Arabidopsis thaliana: one gene and its partner. The protein of the gene in region 1 binds, or shares a complex with, the protein of each later gene. Each region holds a gene or a part of one and is shown in the gene's direction. Other genes may lie near its edges.

What was found. The genes of interacting proteins can lie anywhere in the genome.
Region 2: Tic32-IVa (region 1) and TIC55-II share a complex: the UniProt entries of both Arabidopsis thaliana proteins name them as parts of the tic complex.

Annotation. Positions count from the first base shown.
Region 1 is NC_003075.7:12,225,480-12,234,364, forward strand, and holds Tic32-IVa (NAD(P)-binding Rossmann-fold superfamily protein), read left to right. Parts: upstream 1-3,423; 5' UTR 3,424-3,691; coding exon 3,692-3,797; intron 3,798-4,542; coding exon 4,543-4,774; intron 4,775-4,850; coding exon 4,851-4,930; intron 4,931-5,047; coding exon 5,048-5,201; intron 5,202-5,275; coding exon 5,276-5,354; intron 5,355-5,438; coding exon 5,439-5,526; intron 5,527-5,642; coding exon 5,643-5,689; intron 5,690-5,831; coding exon 5,832-6,014; 3' UTR 6,015-6,239; downstream 6,240-8,885. Other genes in the region: AT4G23420 (NAD(P)-binding Rossmann-fold superfamily protein), read left to right, coding at 581-606, 706-752, 831-914, 1,586-1,817, 1,901-1,980, 2,081-2,234, 2,325-2,403, 2,494-2,581 and 2 more. UniProt on the Arabidopsis thaliana protein: Involved in protein precursor import into chloroplasts. Part of the redox regulon consisting of TIC32, TIC 55 and TIC62.
Region 2 is NC_003071.7:10,572,315-10,579,534, forward strand, and holds TIC55-II (translocon at the inner envelope membrane of chloroplasts 55-II), read left to right. Parts: upstream 1-2,627; 5' UTR 2,628-2,723; coding exon 2,724-3,118; intron 3,119-3,209; coding exon 3,210-3,312; intron 3,313-3,393; coding exon 3,394-4,515; 3' UTR 4,516-4,624; downstream 4,625-7,220. Other genes in the region: AT2G24800 (Peroxidase superfamily protein), read right to left, coding at 29-256; AT2G24810 (Pathogenesis-related thaumatin superfamily protein), read left to right, coding at 1,548-1,602, 1,719-1,874, 1,933-2,067, 2,150-2,385; AT2G24830 (zinc finger (CCCH-type) family protein / D111/G-patch domain-containing protein), read right to left, coding at 4,679-5,691, 5,846-5,906, 6,195-6,488, 6,715-6,840. UniProt on the Arabidopsis thaliana protein: Involved in protein precursor import into chloroplasts. Part of the redox regulon consisting of TIC32, TIC 55 and TIC62.

The DNA of each region.
Region 1 (8,885 bases):
CACAAAGGTATAGAACTAGAGTAACGAAGCCTTGCCTTGAAGGCAATAATCGCTTCTCCCACATCGGAAGTTTGAGGATGGATACTCGTCTGTGACATAGTATAAATAAAGAACATGGTCGAAGCTTGCAAATTACTTACCTGGACGGGGTCAACTCGTGATCAAGAAGACGAGTGGCCTAGGCTAGTGAATTCCATTGCACATAACGGAAGGGTGCTTAGCTTAAGGTCTTCCCTTGTGGAAGAGCCTGCGTCATTATTTGTGGCAGAGGGGGTTTGCGTTCGCGCAGCCCCTACCATTCCCAGTAGTTCAATCTTTTGTTCATGAATACCCATGGCCTAGGCTAGTGGCTTCCTGCACTTGAGGTGCGCTAAGCCTAAGGTTTCCCCAAATGGCCAAGTGGGAGATCCTGCGTCATTATTTGTTGCCTTGGGGGGCTGCGTTCGCGCGGCCCATTCCATCCGCAATAGTTCAATCTTTTTAGCTCTCTGGTAACTGTTATAACATCTGAGGTCTTTCTTTAATTGTTCACGTTTTTGGTGGAGCTATTTTATTGAAGGTTGTTAATTTGACTTTGGAGATGCAATCTTCTAATCAAATCTCCACGTGAGAAGCGAGGATTCTCTCCTCGTCATTATTTATCCTTCCCAATTAGAGTAATCACACTTTTCTGTCACATATGAATTATTAAAATCAGAACTTAAGCGAAATCCTTCGACCACTAAAGAAGAAAATCCCTAACAAATCTCAGAGTTTGTGTTAATTTCTTCTTTCCTTACATCTTTTCCAGAAGAAAAAAAGCTGAAAGATGTGGTTTTTTGGATCGAAAGGAGCATCTGGATTCTCTTCTCGTTCCACAGCAGAGGAAGTCACACATGGTGTTGATGGGACTGGTCTCACTGCCATTGTCACAGGTTTTCTTCTATCAATAGTTTCATGCCCTTTTGCGACTTGGGTTTGTCTAAAGTTGTAGACTTTTCTATAATTATGAATTGATTTCATATGTAGGGTAGAGATTTTTTACTTTTATTGTTTAGACAATTGGAATTTGATGTTTTTATGATCAGGGTCTGTTTTTGGTTCGGTCAACCCTAATAAATATATGGAGGTCATCACCGTTTGTTGTTCTAAAGTTTGTCTTTTTTTTTTGCCAATAAGTAACAAGCTTTTGCTCACAAGAATTGGATTGCTATGTTTGGTGAATTTTAAAGTACAACATGTTTGGGACCATTTGATCTGCAAATAACATGTGCTATTAGAAAGTTACATATATATACATACTTGTCTCTGTTTCAGCTGATTCTAAGTTATGTTATAATCACACACTATACAATTTCTGACCAAAGGAAGAAAAAAAAAAGATTTGCTTGTAGATCTCGTTTCAATACTTTTGTGAAGTGCTGCTTCCTTATTTTGGTTAGATTGAGTATGTAGTTTAGTATGCACATGTTCTGTATCAGCCTATCAGGGTATTGAAAAGGCTAGGAACGAGCTTAATCTATTAGTTGATACAACTTAAGAAAGTGAGATTTCTGAACATGTTGGATCCTCAAGTTTTGTTTTGTTTGTTTTCATGTTTTTTCAGGAGCATCAAGTGGTATAGGTGTAGAAACAGCTCGTGTTCTTGCACTGCGTGGTGTGCATGTGGTTATGGCGGTGAGAAACACTGGCGCCGGTGCTAAAGTTAAGGAAGATATTGTCAAGCAAGTCCCTGGAGCTAAAGTTGATGTCATGGAGTTAGAACTCAGCTCAATGGAATCTGTCAGGAAATTTGCATCTGAGTACAAATCTGCTGGTCTTCCACTCAACCTCTTGATGTAAGCTATTGAAATATCGTGGTTCATCTATAGCCGTTTGGATTTATTGACGTTTATGTTTTGACTTGTCTCAATTTTGTAAGCAACAATGCCGGGATTATGGCATGTCCTTTTATGCTCTCTAAGGACAACATCGAGCTGCAATTCGCAACCAACCATTTAGGTGAGTATGATAACCAAACCAACATTATGGCTTTGTCCTACATTTTATATAATTAGTTTCTAATCAGTGCAACGGTTTTTGTAATCCAAATACATTTCAGGACATTTTCTGCTTACCAAACTTCTGTTAGATACAATGAAGAACACATCACGTGAAAGCAAAAGAGAAGGAAGGATTGTTAACGTATCATCAGAAGCTCATCGTTACTCGTACCCAGAAGGAGTCCGCTTTGATAAGATCAACGACGAGTCAAGGTACTAATGGTGAACCAAATAGTATAATTCTCCGATCCCATCTTTTCTTCTAAAGCCAACATTCTTCCTTGATTTGGTCTCCACATGCAGTTACAGTAGTATACGTGCTTATGGACAATCTAAACTCTGCAATGTATTGCACGCCAACGAGCTTGCAAAGCAACTGAAGGTAAACTACACTAAACAAAGCAAAGATATAGCAAATCAAGAATCTATGTTTCCATGGTTATCTTCAATTCTGGTATATGATTAAAAACAGGAAGATGGAGTCAATATAACAGCAAATTCACTTCATCCAGGAGCCATTATGACAAATCTATGGGGCTACTTCAACTCCTATTTGGCTGGTAACTTCTTTTCTCGGATTCAACTCTCATCACTCCATGTTTCATAAGGTTACACTCAAAGTAAACAAACGCATACATATATTTTGAGTCTCTTCTGATCTCTCTGTCACCGGCTTAATGCAGGAGCTGTTGGTGCAGTGGCTAAATATATGGTCAAGTCTGTTCCGCAGGTATGCATCTAATTTCTGAACCTCACACTAATAACCAATCACTTGCAAACTTGTCACTAGGTTTCTCAGCTTAAGTAGGAGAGAATGATACAGCAGTCTAGCTTTACGGATTGATTTGGTTTTTGTTGGTAATCTGGTTTATAATGTCTGAGTATTCGACTTGGTAGGGGGCGGCAACAACTTGCTATGTGGCATTGAATCCACAGGTTGCAGGAGTTACAGGGGAATACTTCTCAGATAGCAACATTGCTAAACCAATAGAACTTGTCAAAGATACAGAATTGGCGAAGAAGCTTTGGGATTTCAGCACTAAGCTTACTGATTCGCAATGATGATTACCGTTGCAGTAGATAGTTGTTCAGGGAACCTTTACTTTCGATGTCTCTATTGTGACAATACTTATTTCAGTCTTTATTGATACAAAATAAAATGTAAAAAACAAATCTGAAATCATTTCCATTTCAATTCTGCAAAAAGATGGTTTATCCAATTTCAGCCTAAACAAAAGTGTTACTTATCTGTTTTCTCATTGACTCAAAACAGTTGTCTAGTGAACTAACTCGTAGACATAAGTAAGTAAGAAACCAAACAGAAAGAGCTTAAAACATCTTCTGATTTTGGAGTTAACTCATGTTATTGGTGGGAGCTATTTTAAGGACATTTGTTAAATCCTTTAAAAAGAAAGTTGTTAATAAATCCCCATCATTTGACTTTGGAGATGCACTATTCTACACTTCAACCTCAACCTCGTGAGACATGAGGATTAAAGTAAAGTAATCACATTTCTGTCACATATGAACAAATAAAGTTATTTAAATCAGAATAAAAGCGAAATCGCTTGACCACTCAAGAAGAGAAAAACGCTAACAAGTCCCATAGTTTGTGTTTATTGGACTTCTTTCCTCTCATCTTCTCCAGCAGAAACAAAAAAAGCTGAAAGATGTGGTTTTTTGGATCGAAAGGAGCATCTGGATTCTCGTCTCGTTCAACTGCAGAGGAAGTCACACATGGTGTTGATGGGACTGGTCTCACTGCCATAGTCACAGGTTTTCTTCTATCAACACTTTCATGCCATTTTGCGACATGGGGTTGTCTAAAGTTGTAGACTTTTTTTCTTATAATTTCCAGAACTTTTGTCCTCTCTGATTCTGTCTTCGAATTGATTTCATATCTAGTAAAAAGACTTGACTTTTATTGTTTAGACAATTGGAATTTAAGGTTTTTATCATCAGGGTCTGTCTTTGATTCGGTCAACTCTAATAAATATTGAGGTCATCACTGTTTCTTGTTCGAAAGTTGTCTTTTTTTTCAAGAATTTGGATTGAAAATTCCATGTTTGGTGAATTTTAAAGTACAACAAGTTTGGGACCATATGTATAATTGCATGTTAAGGGAAAATAACTCGTCTCTGTTTCAGCTGCTTGTAAGTTGTGTTATATATCACAACTCTATACAATTCCTGGCCAAGGGAAGAAAAAATACAGATTTGCTTGTAGAAATCGTTTCTATATTTTGATCATATTACATTAGGGCCTGAAACAAGAACAATGGAGTCCTTGAATTGATAGAACCCTGTTAGGTGACACTAAAGACTTGCACATACATATTTGAGTGTAGCATCGATTGGGCAAACCCTGAGTCAGCCTAATAGCCTATCAGGGTTTGAAAAGGCTTGGAAGAGCTTAACTGATCATTGGTTGATACAACTTTAAAAAGTAGTCTAGCCTGCATTGAGTTTTCTGGACATGTTTGGTTCCTTAAGTTTTCTTGTCTTTGTGTTCATATTTTCAGGAGCATCAAGTGGTATAGGAGTAGAGACAGCGCGTGTTCTTTCACTGCGTGGTGTGCATGTGGTTATGGCGGTGAGGAACACTGACTCTGGTGCTAAAGTTAAGGAAGATATTGTCAAGCAAGTCCCTGGAGCTAAACTCGATGTCATGGAGTTAGATCTCAGCTCAATGCAATCTGTCAGGAAATTTGCGTCTGAGTACAAATCTACTGGTCTTCCACTCAACCTCTTGATGTAAGCTATTGAATACTGTATATAGCGGTTTTGATTTATTGATGGTTAATGTTTTGAATTGTCTTAATCTTGTAAGCAACAATGCCGGGATTATGGCATGTCCTTTTATGCTCTCTAAGGACAACATCGAGCTGCAATTCGCAACCAATCATTTAGGTGAGTAGGAGAAGTAAACCAACATTATGTGGCTTTGTTCTAAAGTTATATACTTAAGTTAACATCATCATTAGTTTTTAGTCAGTGGCATGGAATTTGTGATCCACTTTATTTCAGGTCATTTTCTGTTGACTAAACTTCTGCTAGATACAATGAAGAGCACATCACGTGAAAGCAAACGAGAAGGAAGAATTGTTAACCTATCATCAGAAGCTCATCGGTTCTCGTATCCAGAAGGAGTTCGTTTTGATAAGATCAATGACAAGTCAAGGTACTAATGGTGAACCAAATAGTAATTCTTCTATCAAAATCTAACATTCTTCCTTGGTTTGGTCTCCGTTGCAGTTACAGTAGTATGCGAGCTTATGGACAATCTAAACTCTGCAATGTGTTGCACGCCAACGAGCTTACAAAGCAACTGAAGGTAACTAGAAAAACAAGAGATCTATCAAATCAAAATCTATGTTTCCATGGTTATATTGATTCAAATCTGGTATGAATAAAATAGGAAGATGGAGTCAATATAACAGCAAATTCGCTTCATCCAGGAGCCATTATGACTAACCTCGGGCGCTACTTCAACCCCTATTTGGCTGGTAACTTCTTTTCTCTTATTCCACTATCATCACCCCATACTTCACAAGGTTACACACAAGTAAACAAACGCATACATATACTTCTTCTGATCCTCTCTGGCATTGGCTTGATGCAGTAGCGGTTGGTGCAGTGGCTAAATATATACTCAAGTCTGTTCCACAGGTATGCTTCTAATTTCGAAGCCTCACACTGGTAACCAATCACTTACAAACTGGTCACAAGGTTTCTCAGATCTTGCTTAAAGGATAAAACTTGGTTTTGTTCCGTTATGTGGTTTATAATGTCTGAGTATACGACTTTGTAGGGAGCGGCAACAACTTGCTATGTGGCATTGAATCCTCAAGTTGCAGGAGTTTCAGGGGAATACTTCCAAGATAGCAACATTGCTAAACCATTACCACTTGTCAAAGATACAGAATTGGCCAAGAAGGTTTGGGATTTCAGCACCAAGCTTACCGATTCACAATCAGGAGAAAGCAGTTCTTGAAAGTAAATGATGTTCAGTGAATCTTTACTAATGGTTTCATGTTTCAACGTCTCTTATCTCTACTGTGACAATACTTATTTCAGTCTTTATCAAAGGAAATAAAAACGTATAACAAATCTGCAATAAGATGGTTTATTCTGACCGGTTTAGTTCTAAACCTTCACCAAACACTTATCAGAAGAAAATGTAAAAAAGCTTTGTAATCAAGTATCAGAAGATTTTAAAGACAACTTTCGAATTCAAAAAGAAGAAGAAGCCACGAGGAGACAATACTGTCAATGCATTATTAAAGTGATGGTCAGAAATGAAAATAAAAATCAATGATGATAGTTTTCTAGTTTAAACTCACTTTATTAATGGTTTCATTAGGAAGGTTAAGTAATTAATTAATCTTTGTGATTGGAATTTGGATCATAACGTGCAAATTGTCGATATAGAGTGTTATAGATAGGCTCTGTATTTAATTCATTTCATACCCTCTATATATAATTGTCGGTCGTTAGATGGCATTTGTTTTTATATTTATTTGATTTGGACCAAACAATGCTATTAATGATATGCATTGTATAAATTTCAAACTATAACGAGAGCAAATTTCAATGTAGGTTTAGGACTATATATGTTGATATTTAACAAAAAAGAAAAATTCATCTTAGGGTGATAAGATTGATCACTAAAGATTATTGAAATGTGGCCAAGTACTAGAGTACTACTATTTGTGACTATTTTACAATTGTTCACAATCATATCTATTGTACGTACAAACTATTTGCAGAAAAATCACATGCTCCAATATGAGATATTGTGTGTATGGATGTGGATACCTCAAATTAACTCGTAAAAATGTATGGACCTAATATAGTATATAATACGATACTAAAGATTTTTGTTCATTTTACTGTTGTTGATAGACTTACACTATGATGAGCAACAAAGGACTGAAATTTCAACAACAACAAATGATTTTTGAAATTGTCAAAATTAGTTGTCATCATCAGCAACAACAAAACTAATCAAATATGTTTGTAACATTCTATTTGAGAAAATTTATATAACTATATTGAAAAGAACATATATCACACAATCGTATATGAATGGTTGGGGGATGGACTAATAAAGAGTATGGTAATGTTTCTCAAACTCTCTGAGAAGCCACCAAACCACTTATAAAGAGATCTAAGTTCACACCTTTGTGTTTACTTTATCTAACTAATCCGTGGTACTACAAAGTAATTAAATTGTGGTAACATTGAATTACATATTCATTTTTATTCTATCATTACCAAAAAGTCAATCATGTTGTAGTACATGTACAGATTGGACGCTTTCTTTGTATTTTTCTGCTGTGTACACATTCAACTTTAATAATTGCTCTTCTCCGTAATGTGGTAAAATTCGATTTCATGCATATATTCAGGATTTCAACAACAGAAAAAGTTTTCAAAAATAACCAAAACATGTGGCCAAGTGATCTTTGTTATCACTATGACTAAAATCCATATAATCCTTACAATTATCATTCACATATATTTAAGCTTCATAATTGACTCATCTTTCAATCATTGACAAAATTTGCTTTGTCAAACAAAAGCTAAATCATAAGGAAATAGTGTCTACATGAAACTAAATCAAAATTATTCCTTCTATTCAATTCCTAATTCATAAGGATGGGCCTCACAATTGGACTTTAATTCTCTAAATTAGACCATTTTTCTGCTAAAAGAGCAAATGTGATCTCTTGAAAAGGTGTTGGAGAGGCGATAATTCGGAGCCGTGGATGAAACGTGTGAAAAGGGAGTGATGAGGCCATCAGGACCGTACGTTGATATCACGTGAGGACACGTGGGGGATTGAGTGAGCATGTACAAACAAAACTGTCTTTTGGACTGACTTTGGAAGCAACCAAGGAAACATCGAACATCATTCGGTGTACCATAAAAACAATGCATATCATTGAGCTGTTTGTTACCCCCAAAAAACATATGGTGTCAAACACAAGACTATTGTCTTATCAATGACTATTATTGATTTGAATCTTAATTTATATCCATCTTAAGCTTATCAAGATTCGAGTTAGGGTGGTGGACATTAGTTAATTATCAAATTTTATAAATCCTAACTAAGGGTAGATTTCGGTGTATAAAACCAGGTCAAATTATTCGTTTTATAGTTTTTCTATATATAGTGATGAAAATAATTGTATATATATCTTCCACAATACTTTAAAAATGTACAAAAGTTCATATATCTTCCTTACATTGTTACATGCATGGCTATATCCTACACTTGATTTAGTGGAGTTTATTTAATAACTCAATTATTGCTTGGGAAGATAGATAATTGAACTACGTTCATGGGAAGGTCTACGTCTTCAATCATTGATCCCCACAAAAGCATTGGTCGTGAACACGACTAATACCAATTAAGCACCAAAATTTTGATTTTACTTATCTAGCTAATGAATTAATTTACTTTTAATCATATGATTTTGAAGCAAAATCCAGACTGATTACATTGTATGTGAAAGAGACATATTTTTACTACTATTTAAAATGTTTACGGTGGCTAACTATAAGTGAAATCGTAGAGAAAGAATTTGATTCATGGCATATATCAAATTTTAACCATCATGGTTGTTATTCGTGACCTTAGAATTTATGCGTGTGATCACCCAAAAAAGGTGATATATTTTTTTACATTTGTTTATGATCTAATCTGAATGACAAAAATAAGAAAGCCTTAAACAATGTATACTTTTTATAATTATCTTGATTTTATTATTTGAGTTAGTCTAAATCAAACAAAGAAACAAAAAGTTAAGATCATTGGAATAGTGAATTAGCACTTTACAATGTTAATCCAATGCTATTT
Region 2 (7,220 bases), on another chromosome or scaffold:
GAGGCAGTCCTGTGAGAATGTAATGTACCTGGACGAAGCAGTCATGGAAGATGAGACGTAGGAGCTTCCCAAGGACTGATGGATCAGAGGAAGAAGCAGATCTAACGGTGTTTCTGACGATTAACTCAGCTCCAGGACAAGAACCGGCGTAGAAGTTGAAAGAGAGCTCAGCTACTGAAGAAGAAAGAAGCAAAAGTAGAAGAAGAGAGGAGAGGAATGTATATTTTGGTTTGCATGAAAAAAACTGCAACGCCATTTTTTAATGTGTCTGTCAGAAGATGGAAAGTGAAGTTGCTTAATCAGCCGAGAGAGAGAAGAGAAGTTGTAGTTGTTGTGATAAATGAAAACTGTAAATGCATGTGCGTTCGTGTCAGAGAGAGAGAGAGATAGTGATGGTTGAGTCAGGAGAACTTAATGACAATCTCTTTACTCTCTTATGCATGCATCCATGAGATCGAGTCATCAATTTTACAAACAAAACAAGAATTTGAAAGTGGTGAATCCAATCACTGCATGCAGTGAATTTTATGGGTAAGAAACCCTAAAATAGTATGAATTTCTCCATTATTGTGACAAAAATCAGAAAACTTTTTTTTGTACCTTTCAGATATTTCTTTTTGAAGATTTAAAAAAATCACTCATGCTTATTGAATTCATCTTTCTTTGACTTGTTATAGTATATGTCACTTTTGCATACAAAAAAAGAAGAGAGAATCTATAAATAGAAAAATGTACAAAAGGATCTAATAATGTGCTTCAGAAACTCTTTATTTGTTGATAGTTTCTGTTGATAAGCCAATTCTTTGTCTTTCATGTCTCAGAAAACCTGAAAAGTACAAGAAATGGTGGAAATCAGTAAAAGGTTTGTCGTTTTTAGATAATAAACTCGATATAGAACAAAAATAAACAAGCAACGGAGATATTTGGATTTTAAAACCTGGGGGTCGTGGCTTTGGACTCGAATTCAATAACCTAATTAAGCAATAATCTTATAATTTCGAAGGAAACAAAACAAGCAAATTTTTTAATGTTAGGTTTAAAGCTTTGTGAAAAAATAATAGAAAAAATGTACTCCATCTTTTTCTAATCATTTTAAGTTTATTCCACTTTAATTTTGTAGTTTTTTTTTTCTTTTCTTCTTTATTGACTGATATTATAAATCACAAAGTTCAGGATGCAATGATTAAATTTATTAGATTACAATCAATGAGTATTAGTTTATAGTTATTAAAAATATTTAATATAAAAAATAAACAGTCATAAAATAATGTTTAATTTTTAATGTGTGTAAAATCCAAAACATCAATGCTTACGGAGATTTCCTTAAGATTAATAAAGTTGATTTTTATGTAATAAGAAACAAAATCTCATTAAACTTTAAAAGTAAAAAAAATAAAAATATGAAGTGTCACTTATGGTAGTAGTATCCAAAACAATAAGTTAATGGATTTGTTTCTAAAGAAAAGAAAAACACTATAAACAGAGGATCCTCACCATCAACTTTCACTAATCATCACAACTTCAACTTTTCAATACTCAGATTAACAATGGCTATTTTCTCCAAATTACATCTTCTCTTCTTCTCCTTCATCATAGCCACATGTATACATAAAACATTTCCAACATTTTAAGATGACTACTTTGATTTAATAATTTATCTGATAATTTTTTTTTGTTGTCCGTCCTAGTAATTTTTTTTTAATTGTATATTCTTCAAGGTACAATTTCTATTGTCTCCGGCACCGTCTTCACTTTATCAAACCGCTGCAACTTTACTGTGTGGCCCGGAATCCTAACCGCAAACCGCACACTACTCCGCGGCGGCGGATTTGCCTTAGCTTCAGGTTCTTCTGTAAACTTAACCGTTTCTCCAGGTTGGTCTGGTCGAATCTGGGGTCGAACGGGCTGCAACTTCAACGCCTCTGGTTCCAGAAAATGTAAAAATGCACCGGTGCAAGAGGAGCACCACCAGCCACACTAGCAGAATTCAGAATCGGCTCCTCTGGAAAGAAATACACCGTACAAGATTCTTACGACGTGAGTCTCGTCGACGGTTACAACGTTCAGGTGAAAATCACACCACAAGGTGGCTCAGGCAATTGTAAAACCGCGGGATGTGTTTCGGACGTGAATGCCATTTGTCCAAAAGAGCTACGCGTTAACGGCTCATCGGGTGTTGTGGCGTGTAAGAGTGCTTGTGAGGCTTTTAACAAACCGGAGTATTGTTGCACCGGCGCTTTCAGTAAACCGGAGACTTGCCCGCCGACGAAATACTCGAAGATATTTAAAGGAGCTTGTCCCACTGCGTATAGCTATGTGTACGATTATGCTTCGAGTAGATTTACATGTACTAGTGCTAATTATGTTATCAGTTTCTGTTCTTAGGCATAGTATAGCCTTTTTTATTGTTATTATTATCAACAATGAATAAATAATTAATCACTATTAACATAGTTTTATGTTTTTTTTTCATCACTATGAAATGTATTAAAGCAAAAAAGACTAATGTTAAAACTTAAAAGATTAAAAATAAAATAAAAAGAAGTTAAAATGACATTTAAATAACGTAAAAATAAACGACGTCGTTTAGCCAAAGTTTCTACTATCTATGTATGTGGTGGAACGAGGTCCAATGGTTGAACAAGCAACCTTATGATATATTTTATGAGAAGAGGCAAACAACACCTAACATTGGATTCGAGCTCTCTAGTGAAGAATCCGCCATGGCTGTTCCATTTCTAAGCTCTTCTCTACAACTCACACCCACTTCTCCGATTCTCTTCACTAAAGTAACACCAACACCAATAATCCACAACCACAGATCAACATGCACTATACCCACAAAGCCTCGTCTACGTCTCCTCCGCCGCTCCGCCGTCGCTGGAACCGCCGTATCTGATCAAACAGAAGGAGGTGGAGATGTTCTTTTAAACCCTGAAGAAGAGAAACGTGTTGAGGTGGCGGATTATGATTGGACAGAGGAATGGTATCCATTGTACTTAACTAAAAACGTCCCTGAAGATGCGCCTCTTGGCCTCACCGTCTACGATCGTCAAATTGTTTTGTATAAAGACGGTGAAGGAACACTTCGTTGTTACGAAGATCGGTGTCCTCATCGGTAAGATAAATCATCTAGCAAAACCACAACCACTAGTTTTGTACTTTTGTTTAGGAATCTGAAATTGAGTTTTGTCTTTTTTTTTATAAAGGTTGGCTAAGTTGTCTGAAGGACAATTGATTGATGGGAGATTGGAATGTTTGTATCATGGTTGGCAATTTGAAGGAGAGGGCAAATGTGTCAAGATTCCTCAGGTTCTTTGTTTACTGATTTTTGCTATTTCGAGATTTTCTCTTTACTCTGTACTTACTGGTTTTGGGTTCTGTTTCTAACAGCTTCCTGCAAGTGCTAAGATTCCAAAGGCTGCTTGTGTGAAGACGTATGAGGTGAAGGATTCACAAGGAGTTGTGTGGGTGTGGATGTCAACAAAGACACCTCCAAACCCTGAGAAGCTTCCTTGGTTTGAGAATTTCGCTAGACCCGGTTTTTTCGACATTTCGACTACTCATGAGCTTCCTTATGACCATTCCATTCTTTTAGAGAATCTGATGGATCCTGCTCATGTTCCTATCTCTCATGATAGAACGGATTTCACTGCTAAAAGAGAAGATGCTCAGCCTTTGGTTTTCGAGGTCACAGAGCGAAGTAATCGGGGTTTCGCAGGGACTTGGGGCCGAGAGAAAGAAGGTGGGAAAGGGAGTAATTTACTTCGGTTTGATGCTCCTTGTGTTCTGCAGAACAATCGAGAGTTCGAGGGGAAGGATGGAGTGAAGAACTATTTTTCAGGGCTGTTTCTTTGTAGACCTACAGGGCAAGGGAAGTCTATGCTTATTGTTAGGTTTGGGGTCACAAAAAGATCGCCTTTGGTTTCGGTGTTACCTCAATGGTTCTGGCATCAGAATGCCTGCAAGGTTTTTGAACAAGACATGGGGTTTCTATCGTCTCAAAATGAGGTTCTGATGAAGGAGAAAGTACCAACTAAGGACTTGTATTTGAATCTAAAGTCATCGGACACATGGGTCGCTGAATATAGAAAGTGGATGGACAAAGTTGGTCATGGGATGCCTTACCATTTCGGGCATAGGACCATATCTCTCCCCAAAGTCCCTCCTGTCGTGGAACATGCCCCGGCAGGGCTCATTGCAGCTCTCTCTGCTTCTTACCCTGCAAAAGGCGGAATTGGGACTATGCATGCTCCCAATTTGGCTAACCGGTACTTCAGACATATTATTCATTGTAGAAGCTGCAGCAATGTGATCAAATCTTTTGAGCTCTGGAAAAATATCCTCTCTGCCACGGCAGTGGCTTTGACGGCTTTGGCCATTCTGGTGGTTAGTAGACAGTGGAAGGCTGTCCTGTTAGGTTCAGCAGCATTGTGCTCAGCCGCAGCTTATACCTGCTTAAGAGCTATAAATCTAAACACCAATAACTTCATTAGAACACACAGAAGACTATGAAAATGTATAGTGTCATGTTTCCTCTTCTTCCAACAATATGTATTTCATGAAATAAATTTTTGCTTGTAAACGCAATTATATAATTCAGAAGGTTCCAATGTTTGCCATCAATCTTACAGTTTAACCATGAAATTTCTGTTAAACTGGTTTAAAGTTCTATGTTCTAAAACTTGAGCCATTTCTTCTCATTCTCTTTGCTTACTATAGCATTTGAGGCAGCTGCTTGACATGCTAATGTACTTGCCAATGCCTTTCGGACTTCTTTCAATCTTCTCGTCGCAGCCTCTGAAACAACTAGATCTTTCTTGTTTCTGTTCACCATCTGTTCTAGTTTCAACATTTCTAACTTCAAGTCTCTGACTTCATCTTGGTATTCAACCAAAGCTTTCCTGTCTACTGGACCTTTGTTTTGCCTATTTTTTACAGACTCGCTGTGTACTTTCTCATGGCGGGTAGGAAAAATTTGTTCATTGATTAAGCTAAACAAATCTGGCTTCGATTCCTCTTCCTGTTTCGCTGCTTTAGCTGCTTCTGCAAACTTCTTCCCACGCTTCCTTTTCCCACCTCTGCTCCTTTTCTTCTTTTGTTTCTCGCTTTTACATTCTCCATTCCTAATGTGCTCAAGAGCATAATCCAGTGACCGCTTTGCTGGAAGTACTTTTACTAAGATTGGATTTAATATCCCTTGGCCAGAGACGCCAAGACCCATCCCTTCACGGTAACCCATACTTGCCATCATCTTCGAAGCTATTCCTCTAGTATGATTCTCCCATTTAGCAAATAAGGCAGTGTCAGTTTGGACACCTCTTGGTAGATTTGTGCTTTCTAGAAAGCCTATGCCTTGTGGAGACCCTTCATCATAATCACTTGAAACAGAATCTTCAGAATCTGAAGCACTCTGTTGTTCATCCTCCTCCTCCTCCTCTTCCCCATCATCATCAGTCATCTGAGCGTACTCTGATAATGCCAAAGAATCAGATCCTAGCTTTGCAGAGCTTTTATCATCTCTGAAAACAACTCCGCCTACTTGTAACTCATCATCCCATGATTCAAGTTCAGCCTTTCTCCATATATCGTATTTACTGCCAGAAACCGCCCAAATCTTAGAGCCTACCATCAATTGCTTCCACTCAGTCTGTTCATAGTTCTTCAGAGAAGATATCGGCACATCTAGTCCTGCACCGATCGATGTCTTGCAGTTATCAACCACAATGACAAACCAGCCACATTTCTAACTTCTAAAGTTCTAAATGTGGTCACGGTATGAATATATAACACACAAAACGATAATGATAAATATTATGATCATCTAACTATGCTTTAAACATACCATGTGATGAACGACAAGAACTGCCAAACCGACACCTCTGCTGCATAAAAAACTTGCAAATCTGCACAAATGTGGTGCAGCATTAGTATCTAAGACACAAAACAGCAATTGAAAAAAATCCACCAGTAACCATCTCAAAGTTAGTCTTTCACAGCCATTATTATATGCCTATAGCAAAACCTAGTTAAGCTAGATAGACAATCAAAACTGAGACTTTCAATAAACTCTATCCACCCTAGCTTTTCAAATCCTATATCACATTAGTATTGTAGGAAAAGACTGATAGATCATATCCAAAACACAAGAACTAAGTAAGAAAACATTTAACAGATGACTACAAAGAACTTACCATCATACTCTCAGATGTGGGTGTAAGGAAAGAGATCTTAGCAGAATCAGAGCCTTCAAATCCAATAATACGACCATTATACCAACGACCATCAGTATGTCGAAACCGACATTTCGATCCATCCAAATCCTTTTTCTCTTCAGTTTTCTCTGGCTCCAGATGCTCAGGTTTAACTCCAGCATCATGATTTAGACCATTCAACACTATATCAGCTTCCTCCAATAACCGAGCTCGTTTTAAATGCAAAAGCCCTTCCTCTACCTCCTTGATTGCACTGAGAAGTTCTTCATGGACCTAACCAAAGACAAAACCACCACACATGAAACATAAGACTAAGTATACGGATTTTCACCTCTAGCTACTCTAAGAATGAGATTATCAAAGAAAAAGGAAACAGCTTTGGACTAATTGATACCATACTATATAATTTCTAGAAAAAGAGCAATCACAAAATTGTTGAATCGTAGTAATCTTAGTTCTCCAGGAAATTTGGGATCTGATTTGAGAGAAGAAAATTTACCGAGAGGAGTTCGGGATTAGATGGGTCAGAGAGTAGGGCTTCGTCAATGGAGGAAAGAGATTCTTTTTGTTCAATTAGCTGAATGTCAAGAAGATTTTCAAGGTCGTTGTTTTCTTCGCTCGCCATGGGAAGATGATTTTAGAGTCTCCCGCGGAGGAGAGAAGACGAGAGAGGAAGAAGAAAACTTCTTGGGTTCCGGGCCGACCCGGAAAATTAACCGGGTTTGCAGTTTATAATTTTTCATTTTATATGCGTTTGGTTGCAATTCGCATACGGTTCGGTTCAATTTAATTTGATTTGGTTTTGTATAATTTTTTGTTAAACTCTTAACTTTGTAGTTATATAACCGATTTGACAAATGCCCGAAACCGAAAACCCAAAAAAAATACCCGAATGCCCGATACCGAAAACCCAAAAAATACCTGAATCGATTCAGATCCGATTTTTAAAAATACGTCGAGTTCTAAACCTAATTACCCAAAAAAAAACAGAACCAAATCTAATAC